Linked DNA regions of Danio rerio. The protein of the gene in region 2 purifies or fractionates together with the protein of the main gene of each other region. This does not show direct contact. Links are inferred from orthologs where the notes say so. Each region holds a gene or a part of one and is shown on either strand. Other genes may lie near its edges.

Region 1 (4,269 bases), on a different chromosome or scaffold from region 2:
TGAAATAAAAGCCGTTTCTAACATATCAATTCGAGGTGTTGGTTAGGACAAAAACTCCTTTTAATATGGAAAATATTTGTTCTATCACGTGCCGTTGCTTTTATACTGAACACGGTTTACATTAGGCTTGAGACTCGCTCCTCTTGGTCATCTGGCAACCTGCACTTGCATATGTTTTGATTCTGGAATGTAATTCCTAGTTCAACCACTGGGTGTCAAATTACATACCTTTAAACATTTGCACCTTTAAATGTTATTTACAATAATTGCATTAAGACTCAGGATTAGAAAAAAAGGATTGCATATGTGCCAAAGTGTAGAAATCGCATGTTATGTAATTTCGAAAAAAAAATGACATGATACAATGAGCATAATATAAGCCCTTTAAAGATGTCAGTAAAGAGCTAGTCCTGGGCTCTGAACTGACCTTTCTTGGGAGCCGCTGGACGGATGTAAAACGGGAGCGTCTTCATGGCTCCCCTAAACTCCTGTTTGAGGGCCAGCATGTACTCGGCCTCCTCACCTGCCTGCAGGGGCACTGGCTTCTGATCCAGAGGCTGAACACATCAAACAGCACATTCACATCTGTCTGCTGCTCACACAAACACCTGCTGTCACTCATTTACACATGCCAAGACAGAAATCAGCTTTTAATAGGGCATACAGCTAAAGTCAGAATGATTTTTTTCTTTTTTAAAATATTTCCTAAATAATGTTCAACAGAGCAAGAAAATTTTCACAGTATGTCTGATAACATTTTTTCTTCCGGAGAAAGTCGTATTTGTTTTATTTCGGCTAGAATAAAATCCATTTAAAGGTCAATATTATTAGCCCCATTAAGAAAATTTTTCTTCTTCGATTGGCTACAGAAAAAAAACATTGTTATACAATGATTTGTCTAATAAACCCCAATCAACCTACTGTAGTTAAGCCTTTAAATGTCACTTTAAGCTGAATACTAGTATTTTGAAAAATATCTAGTCAAATATTATGTACTGTCTTTATGGCAGAGACATCTACAGACACTTAAAATGGCAATAAAATTATTTTCTTTACTGTAATAAAAATGTTAATTGAAATAAAAAAAACATACAGTTGAAGTCAGAATTATTAGCCCCTTTTTTATTTTTTTCCCCAATTTCTGTTTAACAGAAAGATATTTTTTTCAGCACATTTCTAAACATAATAGTTTTAATACCTCATCTCTAATAACTGATTTATTTTATCTTTGCCATGATGCACATAATATTTGACTAGATATTTTTCAAGACACTTCTATACAGCTTAAAGTGACAGTTAACGGCTTAACTAGGTAAATTAGGTTAACTAGGCAGGTTAGGGTAATTAGGCAAGTTATTGTATAATGATGGCTTGTAGACTATCGGAAAAAAAATTGCTTAAAGGGGCTAATAATTTTGACCTTAAAATGGTATTTAACAATTAATAACTGCTTTAATTTTCCAGAAGAAACAATATTATCAGACATACTGTGAACATGTCCTTGCCCTGTTAAACATCATTTAAAAAATATAAAAAAGAACAAAAAAATTCAAAGGGGGGCTGATAATTCTGATTTCTACTCTTACTTCCAGCAGGATAACGCGCCATGTCAGAAAGCACAAATCATCTCAGACTTTTTTTTTTAACATCACAATGAGTTCACTGTACTCAAATGGCCACAATATTCACCAGATCACAATCCAATAGAGCATCTTTGGGATGTGGTGGAAAAGGAGATTCACATCATGGATGTTTAGCGGGCAAACTGCTTGATGATATCATGTCAATATGGACCAAAATCTCTGAGGAATATTTCCAGTATCTTTTTGAATCTATGCCACGAATGATTAAGGCAGTTCTGAAGACAAAAGTGGTCCAACCCAAAACTAGTAAGGTGTACCTAATAAAGTGGCCGGTGAGTGTAAGTGGCTTATTATGTAACTGTTAAGGTAAATAAGGTGGAATACTGTGATGATGTGTTCAACAATAAAACAATTTGAATTCTAAAACAAATATTTAAACAAATATGTTGTTGTGATATTAGACACTTTTAAAATGTAATGTTTGCTGAATGTTGAACAGGACCGTTTTTTCAATGCAATTTCTGTGTAGCTCGTGACGCCATCCACATTAAACTATTAAAGCACTGCGTTTATGCTCATGAAATGCAGAATCTGACTCATATCTTGATAATAGCAGTGTATAACAAGCGTATAACAGTTTATAAACGAGGCTTTATTGTTGTGTCTTGAAGACTCACGGGGAACAGAGGTGTCGGCTGGATGCAGGACGGAGGGAGATTTTCACCTTTACCGATCCCAACTATCTCCACAGAGAAAGTGAGCTGCCCTCTGCCCCTTCCTGCCATCATCTGAGACAAAATATTTCACATTTATTAATCATACATCCTCTTTATTTAACTCGTTTATCCGTTATTCACAGTATAAGTTTACTCATTATCAAACAACTAAATTCGGCTAGAAAAGACACATTTAGGCCAAACATGTTAAAATATTTATTTTTACATAAATGTACTTTTGGTAAATGTTTTATTTTCAATGTAACGTTTTATTTGTTTTGACCGAACTGTAGCATATAAACACACCTCTTTCACTCAATGCGGCGAAATCCCTCTTTATTTTCAACTTCGTTTCATTGTGCAAAGGTTTTATTGGTTAATCCGTCAGTAAACGTGGTTGTTTTTAATGTAATTTCAGGTTTTATTGATGTAAAATTGAGCAATAAAATCACCCGCCAAACATCTGCCCGTTTGTTTTTGCCCGCTTCTGAAAACACTCCTGCCAGAAACATGAGCGCGGTCTTTTATGGTTCCGCGTTTCGCGTCAGTTAACGTTAACCAGTGCTACTCAAAGTGAATCATGCTAAACAAACAAATCATTACAAAATATGTAAGGATTCATTACATGTTTTGCATATTGCTCACAGAGATGCTGATGCACATGCTAAAGATTATTATACTGTAGTCAACATTTGAAGTGGATCAAAACCTTTATCAAAGTTGTTCCAAAACTATTCAACAACACACATTTTTAACTTAGGACAAATTTTGATAAACATTTTTGATCTGTTTTAAATGTTGGCTATTATTTATTAAAACTACTGTTTATGTAGCCTATAACTAAGTTACAACACTTTATTACATATGTGAAACATATTTGTCCGTGTACATACAGTATAGATATTTCTGTAATTCATGGCTTTATTGTATAATACTCACAGACACAGTGCGTGTGTGTGCGCGTGCATGCGTGTGTGTGTGTGTGTGTGTGTGTTTACAGTTGAGGTATTGTTATTAGCCCCCCTTAGAATTCTTTTTTCTTTTTAAAATATTTCCCAAATGATGTTTAACAGGGCAAGGAAATTTTCACAGTATGTCTGATAATATTTTTTCTTCTGGAGAAAGACTTAATTGTTTTATTTTGGCTAAAATAAAAGCAGTTTTGAATTTTTCAATGAAAATTTTTAGGGTCAAAATTATTAGCCCTTTTAAGCTTTTTTTTTTTTTTTTTTTTTGATAGTCTACAGGGGTTCTCAAAGTGGGGGACGCGCGACAATGAAGGGGGGGGGGGTCGCCTAGTTATTTCCAAAAATCGAGTTATTTTTATTAAACCATAAGAATTACCATATTTTATCCATAACCTACTGAAGAGAAAAATCTAAATCATCTTTATAGTGATTTAACATTTTAACATCTTTATACACTATATACTGCTGTATTGAGTTACTATAGTAGCTTCTAGTTACTAGTTCTATTGGATTGCGACCCCTGGGGTAATTACATTATGTTAAAGACAGCAATAGCGTCAGATGTAACAGACTGATTTTATAACACCAGGTTAAACTTTCTGGCACATTAACAGCACTGACATACATTAATTCCACAAAGAATAGACATGGGTTTCTGTACTTATAACCACCTCAGAGGATGTTGGGAGTCGCGAGTCACTGGCATTGTCGTTTTGGGTGTCATGGGCTGAAAAGTTTGGGAACCCTTGGATTACAGAACAAACCACTGTTATACAATAACTTGCCTTATTACCCTAACCTGCCTAGTTAAACTAATTAACCTAGTTATGCCTTTAAATGTCACTTTAAGCTGTATAGAAGTGTCTTGAAAAATATCTAGTCAAATATTATATACTGTCATCATGGCAAAGATAAAATAAATCACTTATTAGAAATGAGTTAATGTTTATTAAAAAACTATTATGCTTAGAAATGTGTTGAACAAATCTTCTTTTCGTTAAA
Region 2 (3,996 bases):
CAGTGTTAAAAATATTAGGACTTACTTTTGGGTGCGTCTAGCTCTATGCTCTGACTTCTCTTGTGAGCAGAACCAGGAACAACAGCTATAAAACATTAAATTAAAAAACATGTTAGAAAGATCAGCACTGGAGTGTTACTACAGGACATTATTATTTTATCACAGTGAAAACGGTAAACATGTAGTGAACATTATGACAGATAATTGCTCAAACCATATAAAGCCATTTCATAGTGTATAATTCTAACATCTTTATTTTAAAAAGCCACGTCTTCATCTTTATGAGCTGTTTTCTTTTGGTTTTGTGATGGTTAGTTTTTGACTTTAGGAAATAGCCGGTTTGGATGAATAAACTCTGACCTCTGCTTTCTCTGCCGGACATGTTGATTCTCTGTTTTTTCTTCAGTCTTCAGTCCATCAACTTTCTATTTGCACCTGATGATTGTCTCTTTATCACCCTGTCATAGATTACACAGATTTTACTTAGCAAGTTATATATTGATTTGTAACTTTTTTATACTCTGTTACCAATGTTAATGTTTGTGTAGTCTATATGAACATCTACTTACACTTTTTTGCCCTGAACATATGCGGTAAACAGCGCTCTTGTATAGTGATTAAATCAAATAGGCCTATTTATAACAAAGTGAACATGTTTAATGAAAGGAGGACAACAAAGTTCAACAGCTGTAAAAGTTTTACATTTACATTTCTTTAAAACAAGCTGACACTGCACATTCAGATATAGGTTATAGAATAGGCCTAGGCTACATTCAATTTTTGTTTTTGTTATCAAACACACCTGAAAGTAAAACCAACCAAATCTAAGGCTTGATTGCAACTACACACTGAATACATCCAAAATAAACAATTTCTTCCAAACATCGCAGTTACATCTATACATTTGCATATTTTACAAATTGATTATTTAAAACAAATGTTTACCGTGTCGAAGATAGTCTTTTCCTTCTTGAAAACTGGAAAAACCTGTATTTTGGGAGGAGTTTTGTGAAGTCACAAGACACTCTTCACCTCTTTTTTCTTCTATTTCAATGGCGGGTAACACCAACGCCGTCGCTTAAAGAGGGAAGTGGGGGGGAATGATTAGTCTGTAAACCTAACCTCTAGTCCACAGTGCAGAGCTGAAGGTGGCGGTAATGCACCAAAACGCTGGATGTCAACCGCCGTAAAATTATAAGAAGAAGAAGAAGAAGAAGAACGCCGTCGCTTTGGTCATATACTAGGTGTAGGAGTGTGAACCAGATCAAGTTCGCATTCCCAAATAAGTAGACATAGTAGCCTATATTTTATAGTCTCGTTCAGTTCTGTTGTCTTTTTATCTTCATATGTTTGTCTTGTTAGACATTTAAATGTAAAAATATGTCAATTTGATGCTAGAACAGGGTAAAGTCTAGATAGGATTCAGCTGCGGATATGCACATCAATATCTGTGATAAGAACAATTAATATTTTTACAGTACTGTGACGGTTGGGGGGTATACGTAAAATACATTTTATTAAGTAATTTAATAAATAGCAAAGTACAGCTACTCTGTTTGCTGTTACGGCTAGAACAGGACAATATTAGATATGGGGATTTATTTGAAAATTTATAACCAAAAGTTTTACAGCGTTGAAACGTCTTTTTAGCATCCCGTCTTTGTTTTATAAACCATCACACATTTCCTACATTGTCTTGTTAAGAAATGTAAAGTGATTGTATTGTATAAGAAAACTGTACATGCTGGTTCTTGTTAATAAAAAAATAATAAATAAATAAAAACATTTCCTACATTGTGTCTTTTTTTACTGCTTTACGATTTGCGTGTTTGCGGAACGTCAGTGCTGTGGATCGTGTTTCTGCACGGACAGTGACGCTGCGGCAACACCGGAAAATCCTTCCACGCTTGGAGTCGCGCTGCGGTAAACTAGCTGTGAGATTCCAGACATAACATTTTTCTTAAAAAATTACCTATTAAACCGGGGTAGGAGACGCAGAACACTAATAATGTCGGATAACGAGGACAAGTGAGTTTCAAACGCGTGTGTTGCGCTCAATGTTTTACTGTTTTCGAACGTTTAAAGTGTGTGAATGTGGAAAACAACAACATGCGATCATTTCCATACTGCGACACAACATATATAACGATGAATGTGACTTACACAGACCTGACAGCTGAGTCTTATTTACCCGATATAGCGAAGACTTGATTTGTGATTTATTGTCGATGACGTGTTTGTTTATCTCAGAGTTTGTTTGTTTGTTTGTTTAGTTTTGATGACGGAGATTTCGATGATGTTGAAGATGAAGAGCCTCTGGATGATCTGGAGAATGTGGAAGATGTAAGATCACACTTTCAGAGAAATACTTGCTTATATTCTGCCTGGTAATCATTGAGAAATGGAGTATTATAGTCAAAGATTTCTCTTATTTCCACATGAGAAATACCACAGAGTTACAGTTTAATAATTTGAGCCACACTGTAGTATTTTGCTGTATATATTATAGTATTTTTCAACTGGTTATTAATGAATGCTGCAACATACTGTAATATTAACTATAGTGAACTGAGAATAACTGTAGTATACAATAGATTTCTACAACTATGGAGTATATTATACTTCAATACACTACAATTTACTGTAGTAAAAACACAAGTATTGGCTTATTTGTTTATATTACTAAAGTACAATACATTCATTCATTCTCTGTTCGGCTTAGTCTCTTTATTATTCTGCGGAATGAACCGCTAACTTATCCAGCATATGTTTTACACAGCATATGTGTATGGGAAACACCCACACAAACTCATACACTGTGGCCAGTTTAGTTGATCAATTCCCCTATAGTGCATGTGTTTGGAGGAAACCCACGCCAACATGGGAGAACATGCAAACTCCACACAGAGATGCCAACTGACCCAGCCGGGACTCGAACCAGCAACTTTCTTTCTGTGAGGCGCTTGTGCTACCCACAGCGCCACCGTGATGCCAATATAGTAGAATGATATAGTAGAATCACCACAACAGATCAAATCAAGTACTCCACTATAGTATAGTGTTTGTGTATGCGTGTTTTGTGCTTGCTCATGTGTGTGTTGTGCATGCTTTTGTGTTTGTATTTTGTCCTAGCATTTGTGTACATTATGCATATTTGTGTGGGTGTGTGCATGCTTGTGTGTTTTGAGCATGCATTTGTTTCTGTGTTGTGTATGTATATATGTGTGTGTGTGTGTGTTTTGTTTAATTGTGTGTATCGTGTATGTGTTTGTGTGTGTTTTGTGTTTATTTTTGTCCAATGTTTTGTATGTGTGTGTGTGTGTGTGTGTGTGTGTGTGTGTGTGTGTGTGTAGGAGGACCAAGAGAATGTTCAGATCCTGCCGGCAGGTGAAGGACAGCAGGCCAATCAGAAGAGAATCACCACCCAATACATGACCAAATACGAGAGAGCGCGAGTGCTGGGAACACGAGCTCTGCAGATTGCGTGAGTGACCGATCCACAATCACCACTCAACACACACACACACACTGCCAAATACACAACATTACCAAACATGGAGATGCACACTGCAATGCCTCAATCTCTGAATCATCTCGCAGCATTAATCTGAACGCTCATACTCTGTTCATGTGTCCTTTTCTCTGTCCTCTGTTTAACTGTGGATTGAAGCACTGCTTTGGTTTCGCCTAACTTGCTGATCTTGGTGTCTGATATTGTGAGGTTTTATTTTTCTGTGATAAATATTGTGATAATACAGTTTCACTAGAGAGTTTGATTGGCTCTGTTTGACTGATTTCTGTGGAGAAACAAATGCTTTTCTTACTTTGCTTTCTCTCGTTTCTAGTCCAAATATCTAAAAATTCTTAAGAAAATATTTTGTTTTCAACTTTCCATGAACTTACTTTTGAAATTTTTCCCTAAAACAATCAAAATGATCTGCCTCTTATCCGTTTGATTAGCATTCATTTCAAGAGGAGCATTAAAGTGCAAAACCC
Region 3 (3,973 bases), about 44 Mb from region 2:
ACACTAGAAACACACTAAAGGACACACCAATCCATACTAGATACATACTAACAAACATACTAAAAATATATTAATCCACATTTGAAACATAGTAATAATATACCAATCCATGGAAGAAAAACATAACATACTCCAAATATACCAATCCATACTAGAAACATAATAAACCACATTAAAAAACAAACCAAGGCCACACCAATTCATACCATAAAACATAATAAAAATATACTAATCCATACTAGAAACATACAAACAATATACCAATCTATACTAGAAACATACTAACGGACACACCAATCCATACTAAAACATACTAAAAATATACTAACCCACACTAAAACATACTAACAATATACCAATCTATACTAGAGACATAAACCACACTAGAAACATACTAAGGACACACAAATCCATACTAGAAACATACTAACAAACATACTAATAATATACCAATCCAGACTAGAAACATACTATAATAATCTAATCCACACTAGAAACATACTAACCATATACCAATCTATACTAAAACATACCAATCCATACTAGATACATGCTGACCTATATGTAGTTATCAATCTATGCCGACTGTTTCAAAATTCTTAAAAACTATTTCAATTAATTAAACTTTAAAACTACTTCAAACTTTCAGACTAGTCTCAGTCAATCCACCATAAGTTTGTGAGCAAACTTTACTTTTCAAGTTTCATTTGTTTACCTGCAGTGGAATCCACATTTTCCCAAGCAGCAGATCCTCCAAGAACATCATCAACCTCCTTCAGTTTGGGGTACTTTCTGTTGTTTACCTGTTAAAGCACATAAACAGGTTTGTTTTCCTATTTTTTTATCAGGTCAATGATACTGTCTATGCCTGACCATAAACCTAACCCTCATAGAAACAAGCTTCAATTGTTAGATACTAATAAAAACAAGGATGGTTCAAGGTGATTTATAAGTGTTTTTAATTTTACTGCAAGTTGCTGAGACTTATTTTAGTATGTTGAAGGACCTCAAACTGAAACTGCATATTGAGTAGGGGGCGGGGCTTTCTTTTTGCACATCATTCCCTCATCAACTAAAGGTAAGAGGGGCGTGGTTAGGAATATTGTGGATGCATCTGCCAAACTGACATCATCAGAGAAGGACTGCCACTCCAAACGCCAGAGCAAATGGTCAGACTTTGAAGATTATCAGAACAAAGATTTTTTTTTTCGGTGAATTAGCTTGCATGGATTTATCATTTACCTAAAGAATAGCATTGTGTGCTTGTAAAATAAACACTGTAAATTTGGATTTCACACAGACTTTAAAGAATATATATGCGGAATGTTGAAAAAAACTATCAATGACATAAATAGCAAAAATACTATGACAAGTGGCTCTTCTTTAATATGTCACTGTATAAATACAGTTGTTACCAGTGTCTAAAACAGCGTCATTTTGAATTCTAATCAGAGTTTGAAATTGACTTTTTCACTTAACAGCCAATTACATTTACAGACCAACTAAGCATTGAAAACTTGTATGTGTTTTGGCCATTTGTTTGCACAACAGCATTTTGGGGGATGCAAAAATGAGTTTTTAAGAGCTATCTTTTAAAAACAATGTCAGTAGTTTATAGAGGTGATTTATTTATCCAGGTTTTGTGTTATGATTCTGAAGTTAGTATTGTCATGTGCTATAATTGCATCTGTGTCTTTAAGACGGGAAACAGGTGGCATGATGGGAAGTTTTGTAATGTTACGGAGTTCATAGACACAAGAGAAGTAAAGAGTGGTGGTAAAATGTTAACCTGCGTGTGGCACTGTGGCTGATTTAATTCAGAAGTATGTGCAATTTATGAATGAACATTTGATGATAAGACACACATACATAAGTATCTATGAAGTGACATCAAATATAAACTTTTAAGTATCCAGATGTTTATCCACCTGAAGCTATAACAATATTTCTAAAAAATTTCTAAAATATTTTTAATTCCTACGTTTTCAAGATAATATAAACGAAGTTCTTGGTTTATTAAGTACATTGAGTAAGTTTATATCTTCTGTTAAACAAAAGAAGATATTTTGAAGAATGTTGCTGGGATCCATTGACTTCAATCAACTCTTATTTCCTACTATGGTAGAAAATGGGTGCCAGCATTATTCAAAATATCTTTTAATGAGAATTTATTCTAAAACTGTAAATTTTATACATAAATATAATAACGTGATGAAATAAAGAGCATTTTAAAGTACAATACAATCTTATAATCATTTAACCATTTCATTTAAGTAACTACTCAGTAACCCAGCGTTATTTATCATGCTCTGAAAGCAATGTTTGATAGAACATAAACACTCCCTCACTCAAATCTATTTTTGTTATATAATTTGTAATGTTAGAAACATTGATCTCATCAGATGTTCCTCACACGTTCTCATATTATCGAATCAAGTCATTTCTTTCGTTTCATTCGAATCGAACTTTTAAATGTCGGCGTTCCGTCGAACTTTAATGCGTTCGAATCAAACGTTCCAAACGCTTATTAGATACAAATTTCCATAACCGGTGTTATGCATTACCTTCCTCGTGATGTTGTGCACATATGGACATGTGTTACACGCGAATCTAAAGCATCGCTGTCCTTCTTCCACGATTAACACATTCCCACATGTCGGACAAAACAGGAGCATTTTCAAACAGTCATAGATTATGTTACGTAGTAAATACAGTTATAGTTTCTTTCTGATGCAACTGAAGTTGGTATTTACACACAGTCCTTTCTAAGTCGCTACAGGAAGCACATGACAATCAATGTGCCTCTGTATTATTGGCTCGCCATAAAACGAAATATAGACAAGGATGAACACTGTTTCTGTTGTATATATTAAACTTAAATATATATGAAAATGTCAACGAATATATTAATGCTGATTAAAAAATATTTTAATAGAAGATTGTTATTGTAATAAAGAATGTGAATCATAAAAAACCTATGCGGAACTAAAGTCGGGTGCATCACTGAAATATTCCGACAGCGTGTTTATAAAAATGAAATGTAAAAAGAAATGCTGGAACGGCTCAAATTGTTAAAGTTACAATTTTTAATACAATAAGCTTCTGCAAAAGGCGTACAGTTTTTTTACGAAATTGTAGTTATGTTAACTATTAACGCTTAGTGACTTTTTTATAAGTCTTGGATTTCTATACCCTCAAAACAAGACGTTTGAAGATAAAATGGACGAAATAAAGGACGAAACCGAGCTCAAAAAAGAGTTAGAGGAGAAAACTGTGGAAGATGAAATAAAAGAGGAGCACGAAGAGGAAGAAGACGAGGAGGCTCTTCCACACTCAGAAATTCTGGACATCTTTGAAGAAGGGCTGGCTCTCATAGTGCAGGACCCGCTTCTGTGTGACCTGCCCATTCAGGTGTACATGCAGTCAAGGGGCTGTTTTAAACGGACAATTCACCCAGATATTAAAATGTTCGGTTAATTGACATCCCAAGATTCTGTTCTTAAGTAGAACAGAAAATACGTTTTTTTTTTAAGTTGAGAACTATGTTTTCCTATGTACGTTATCTATATAATGGTGGTCAAGAAGCGCCATCACTTTGAGTTTAATATATTTAAAATCTTCCTCAGAGCTGTTTGTCCAGGTTGTGAATAGCTGATAATGTAGTTGTAAATACTAGAGGGTAATAGTTCCAGCTTAAAATCTTCTATATTCTACAGATTTTTTTTCAACAGTTTCTTCTCCTCTGTGTCAGTATAATGCTCACATTTATGTGCCGCGTTTGGTTGCACCTCTGACTTGCTTATTACCTCAAATGTGTCTGTGAATTGTTTCAAACTAAGGAAGTCATAGTCAGTACATAAGTGCACACCACTCGTGAACACATGCAATACACTGAGGAGAAGAAACTGTTGAGTAAAGTAGTTATTTTTGTTTTATGTGCACACAGATGTATTCTCGTAGCTTGATAATATTC
Region 4 (4,047 bases), on a different chromosome or scaffold from region 2:
ATTTTTTTAGCAGAAAACAGTTAATTGAAAAGTAAACTTTTCTTAGCAGACAGCGGGTAAACAAATTAATAAATAGCAGGAGCGATCGGATGCTAAACACTCAGCTGAAGTAACAGGCCTGCTGTATGTCTGGGTCTGTACGGGACACTTCTGGGTCTGGAGACAGACCTCGATAAGCCCTTTAGTGATCAACAAAAAATAAACAAAAAGATTAAGCATTTGTTATTATTATCTGTCTGAATTTACATTGAGTGTCTATTGAAACACTGACAGCAATGTGCTGTGTTTTGGTCTCACCTGCACTTTTGCTGAACTCTCAGAAACTCAAACACACAGACACGTCAGAAGACGTAATGTCAACAACAGACTTACAGATTTTTAAGAGGTGATTGAGACATGTCCTCCCATGTCCAGCGCATGTCATAGGTAAAGGCAGATTTTTTTTTGTTTTGTTGCAGTTGTTTTTAAACACTAAACTAATATTAAAAATGCATATTCTGAACTGCAGATCACAGGGCGCACTGAACCATGGGAGGACAACAGGACGGTACGATTTTTTAAAGAGAACCGTTGCATCCCTCCTGGATCCCGTACCGTAGTAGCTTTGCATGAAACGTCAGAGCTTAAACTAGCAAAGCTCCAAAACAGAAAAGAAAACTTTTCAATTTATGTATTTGAGATGTAAATACTTGTTACAGCAGAACAAAATTTGACTTCATACTGTCAAACAAACATAAATTGCATGTTTGCAAATATGACAAACAAGTCATGTACAAGAACTGAACAACTAGTCAGTAATCAGTGTTACCACCTCTCATATGTTTTGAATAATCTGTTAAAGGATGGCTCCTCCAAGTATTCCATCACTAACACTGCTCAACGTGGAGGGCATTGTCATCCATAAAAACAAAATCCGGCCACATTGCACCAGAATAAAGTTTGACAACTGGCCTCAGAATTTCATTCCTATACCTTGGGCTTGTCTGGTTGGATACTAACACTCCTGTTGCATCCTGTAGGTCAGGGGTAGGGAACCTATGGGTCAGGAGCCACATGTGGCTTTTTGACCAAAAATATGTAGCTTTCTCCAGCTGTCTTCTTTCAATAATATTTTAAAGTTTAAAAATCATAACTGTTATTAGAAACCAGTTTCATATTGAAAATACAATTATAATTCCCTTTATACTGTATTTTTTAAAGCAAAATAAGAACTCAGGTTACAATAAAAGGATGTTTCTAATGAGCATGTGTGGTGCTGTGGCTTAACTTGAATCGCAACACCAATTCATTCACAAGTGGCAATGGCATACTGATTTTTTTTTCATTCTATAAATTGTCCTTAAATAAGTAAAGATGTTGTTATATACACACACCCCCAATTGCTCTTTAAAAAATGTATTTGATAAATAAAAAACAAACAATGGCTCCTTGCTGAAAAAATGTTACAGACCCCTGCTGTAGGTCATTTTGCAGACTGATTGCAGACTGATTCCCTCGCAGGGAAAGGTATTGGTTATAATTTGGTGTTGTTACCCATTGTCTGCCTCCACCATGCATTCTACTCACTCCACCAATCCTTCTGAACATGTTCCAAGCTCTGAAAATTACACTTTGATATGTTCTCACTGGCTCTACAACTCCTGTGTCTGCCTCAGGCCTGCTTGCAGCTTCCCAATGTCCCGGTTGAGGTCAGAATTCTGTAGCCTACCTAAATTTGGCATTTCATGCGCTTCCTGACCTCAAGTAAAGCTTTCAGAGCTCTTCCCAATTACGGACATCCGTCAATTGGTACCTAATGACAAGCAATAATATCTGATGATCACCAAATGCCATTAACGATGACATTTCATTATTGACAACATTGTCTAATAACAGACTAATGTTTGCATGCATTTTTGCATTAAGAAATAACACATTTTCTGTTTTATAATAAATAAATAAAATTCATATGTAGGCTAATATTTAATAAACTGCATCATGCTTAACACGCATTAACAGACACCAGCCTTAATAAATAGATTTTTGTCTTAATCACCAAAACTTTCGGTTTTGGCTTAGTTTATAATAAAGACTATAGCACTCCTCCTATTCTTAACAAATAACTATGTTTCCTTTCCTCCATAAACGGACAGGCAAGTAAGTAAGTATTACATAAATGTATCATGTATTGGGCTGATATTTTTAAGTCATGGCAAAAAAGCATGGTAGAAATTTAAAAAAGTCCCAACCACCCTTTATTCATTCTAACTAAATAACCAAAAATGAACAGCAATCCCTTTATTTTTTCTGATTATGAGAAATTTAATTAATGTAACGTTACAATAAATATTTACTTTTCAACATTGATGCTAACCTTCGCCAAAACATCCCAAAAACACTCGAGATATCTGACGGACGACTCGGAAATCGTGCACAATCCGTAAAAGGGAAATCTATGGGTCATTTCTAAAAAATAATTAAAGCATTTTGTAGATTCTAGCTGACACAAATAAACTTTAAGTAAACAGGAAGTATGTGCTTGTAACGTTACCAGATCCATCCTCGGCTCGGGGACGCTCGGAGCCCGCGGCTGTGCCTCCCTGGGACGAGTCTGCGACCGGACTGCTGCTTTGCACCGCCGCCATCTTCCGAATTTGCATCCAACAGTGACCCGACAACGGTAAAGCAGAAAGAGCTAAAACATTATACTAAGACGCGGTCACAATAAAATCAGCCCTCGTTAAAATAGACCGCGAACAAAGCGCAATAACCAGGCGAAAATGCCTAACAACAGACTACTGGATCGAGAAACTGAAATGACGTCACGTGATCTTCTTCTTCGCTTTTTCCACAATGCATTTTGTCTATATATCGCCACCTGGCAATAGGCTGTACCCAAAGAGCTTAGATGCTCTTTGCTGTAGTGTAGCAGATAACATTCTTACTTTCCCATATGGAACATCCCGTTTGGTTATTTTTCGGGGAACGTTATCTGTAGTTTTTTTTGGCAACCAAAACCTAACCAAAATCTTCCCAGAACGTTCCCTTATTATTTATTATTATATTACATTTTCTGGAGATTATTTGTGGGTCTTATTTTCATAAACTAAAGAGAACCTTCCCATGATGTTCCCTTCAGGTTATTTGTGGGTTTTATTCTCATAATAACTTTTGATTGTATATTTTTCAATGCGACTGATAACATACACACACACAAACACTATGGTGTATATATTACATTTACATTTAGTCATTTAGCAGACGCTTTTATCCAAAGCGACTTACAAATGAGGACAAGGAAGCAACTTACACAACTATAAGAGCAACAATGAATAAGTGCTATAGGCAAGTTTCAGGTCTGTAAAGTCTAAGAAGGAAAGTATTAGTATTTTTTTTTTTTTGGGGTACAGTTAGTGTGATATCCAGAGAGGCAATTGCAGATTAGGAAGTGAAGTGGAGACTTCATATATATATATATATATATATATATATATATATATATATATATATATATATATATATATATATATATATATATATATATACATATACACACACACACACACACACACACACACAGACATTTATTATTTTTTTTTTTTATCAGTTTTTTTTTTATTTACAGGGGTTGGACAATGAAACTGAAACGCCTGGTTTTAGACCACAGTAATTCATGATGTAGGTCATTCTTTTGTGGTCAATACAGCATCAATTTATCTGGAAAATGACAGATACAAGTCTTGCACAGGATTTTGAGCCATTTTTTCTGCAAAAAAAGGTGAACAGGTCACAACGTGATGCTGGTGGAGTAAATACGTGGTAGTAATGTAAGTGCAACAGTTTTATTGTGACAATGTAACTAATTACATTGTGACAACTGAAACGTTGCAACAATAAAACTGTGACATTGCCAGTTATTAATCACAATGTTGTGACAACATTGTGTACTTCTACCAATATGAATTATTTAATTTGAATTATACAATTATTCAAATTTTATTTTATTGAATAAAAAATATACCACCCCTCCCTCTTCGTTGACCAATTAATTGATCTGTTGCTCGGTTA

Evidence for each region. Proteins that work in one complex are often made in the same cells at the same time.
Region 1: the proteins of polr2f (region 2) and polr3glb purify together in Homo sapiens (affinity purification with mass spectrometry; 3 studies listed by BioGRID and IntAct, with this or other methods). This does not show direct contact. The link is inferred for Danio rerio from reciprocal best matches to the Homo sapiens genes POLR2F and POLR3GL.
Region 3: the proteins of polr2f (region 2) and polr3k purify together in Homo sapiens (affinity purification with mass spectrometry; 5 studies listed by BioGRID and IntAct, with this or other methods). This does not show direct contact. The link is inferred for Danio rerio from reciprocal best matches to the Homo sapiens genes POLR2F and POLR3K.
Region 4: the proteins of polr2f (region 2) and med1 purify together in Homo sapiens (affinity purification with mass spectrometry; 3 studies listed by BioGRID and IntAct, with this or other methods). This does not show direct contact. The link is inferred for Danio rerio from reciprocal best matches to the Homo sapiens genes POLR2F and MED1.

What each region holds. Positions count from the first base shown.
Region 1 is NC_133191.1:47,264,638-47,268,906, reverse strand, and holds the start of polr3glb (DNA-directed RNA polymerase III subunit RPC7-like), read right to left. Parts: upstream 2,801-4,269; 5' UTR 2,606-2,800; intron 2,372-2,605; 5' UTR 2,369-2,371; coding exon 2,261-2,368; intron 558-2,260; coding exon 428-557; intron 1-427. UniProt on the Homo sapiens protein: DNA-dependent RNA polymerase catalyzes the transcription of DNA into RNA using the four ribonucleoside triphosphates as substrates. Specific peripheric component of RNA polymerase III which synthesizes small RNAs, such as 5S rRNA and tRNAs.
Region 2 is NC_133178.1:1,278,189-1,282,184, reverse strand, and holds the start of polr2f (DNA-directed RNA polymerases I, II, and III subunit RPABC2), read left to right. Parts: upstream 1-1,196; 5' UTR 1,197-1,219; intron 1,220-1,876; 5' UTR 1,877-2,008; coding exon 2,009-2,028; intron 2,029-2,273; coding exon 2,274-2,343; intron 2,344-3,353; coding exon 3,354-3,484; intron 3,485-3,996. Other genes in the region: uncharacterized protein, read right to left, coding at 26-85, 361-382. UniProt on the Homo sapiens protein: DNA-dependent RNA polymerase catalyzes the transcription of DNA into RNA using the four ribonucleoside triphosphates as substrates.
Region 3 is NC_133178.1:45,547,119-45,551,091, reverse strand, and holds the start of polr3k (DNA-directed RNA polymerase III subunit RPC10), read right to left. Parts: upstream 2,801-3,973; 5' UTR 2,676-2,800; coding exon 2,565-2,675; intron 804-2,564; coding exon 716-803; intron 1-715. Other genes in the region: snrnp25 (U11/U12 small nuclear ribonucleoprotein 25 kDa protein), read left to right, coding at 3,220-3,411. UniProt on the Homo sapiens protein: Core component of RNA polymerase III (Pol III) which synthesizes small non-coding RNAs using the four ribonucleoside triphosphates as substrates. Can mediate Pol I proofreading of the nascent RNA transcript.
Region 4 is NC_133187.1:16,852,439-16,856,485, reverse strand, and holds the start of med1 (mediator of RNA polymerase II transcription subunit 1), read right to left. Parts: upstream 2,801-4,047; 5' UTR 2,640-2,800; coding exon 2,531-2,639; intron 1-2,530. UniProt on the Homo sapiens protein: Component of the Mediator complex, a coactivator involved in the regulated transcription of nearly all RNA polymerase II-dependent genes.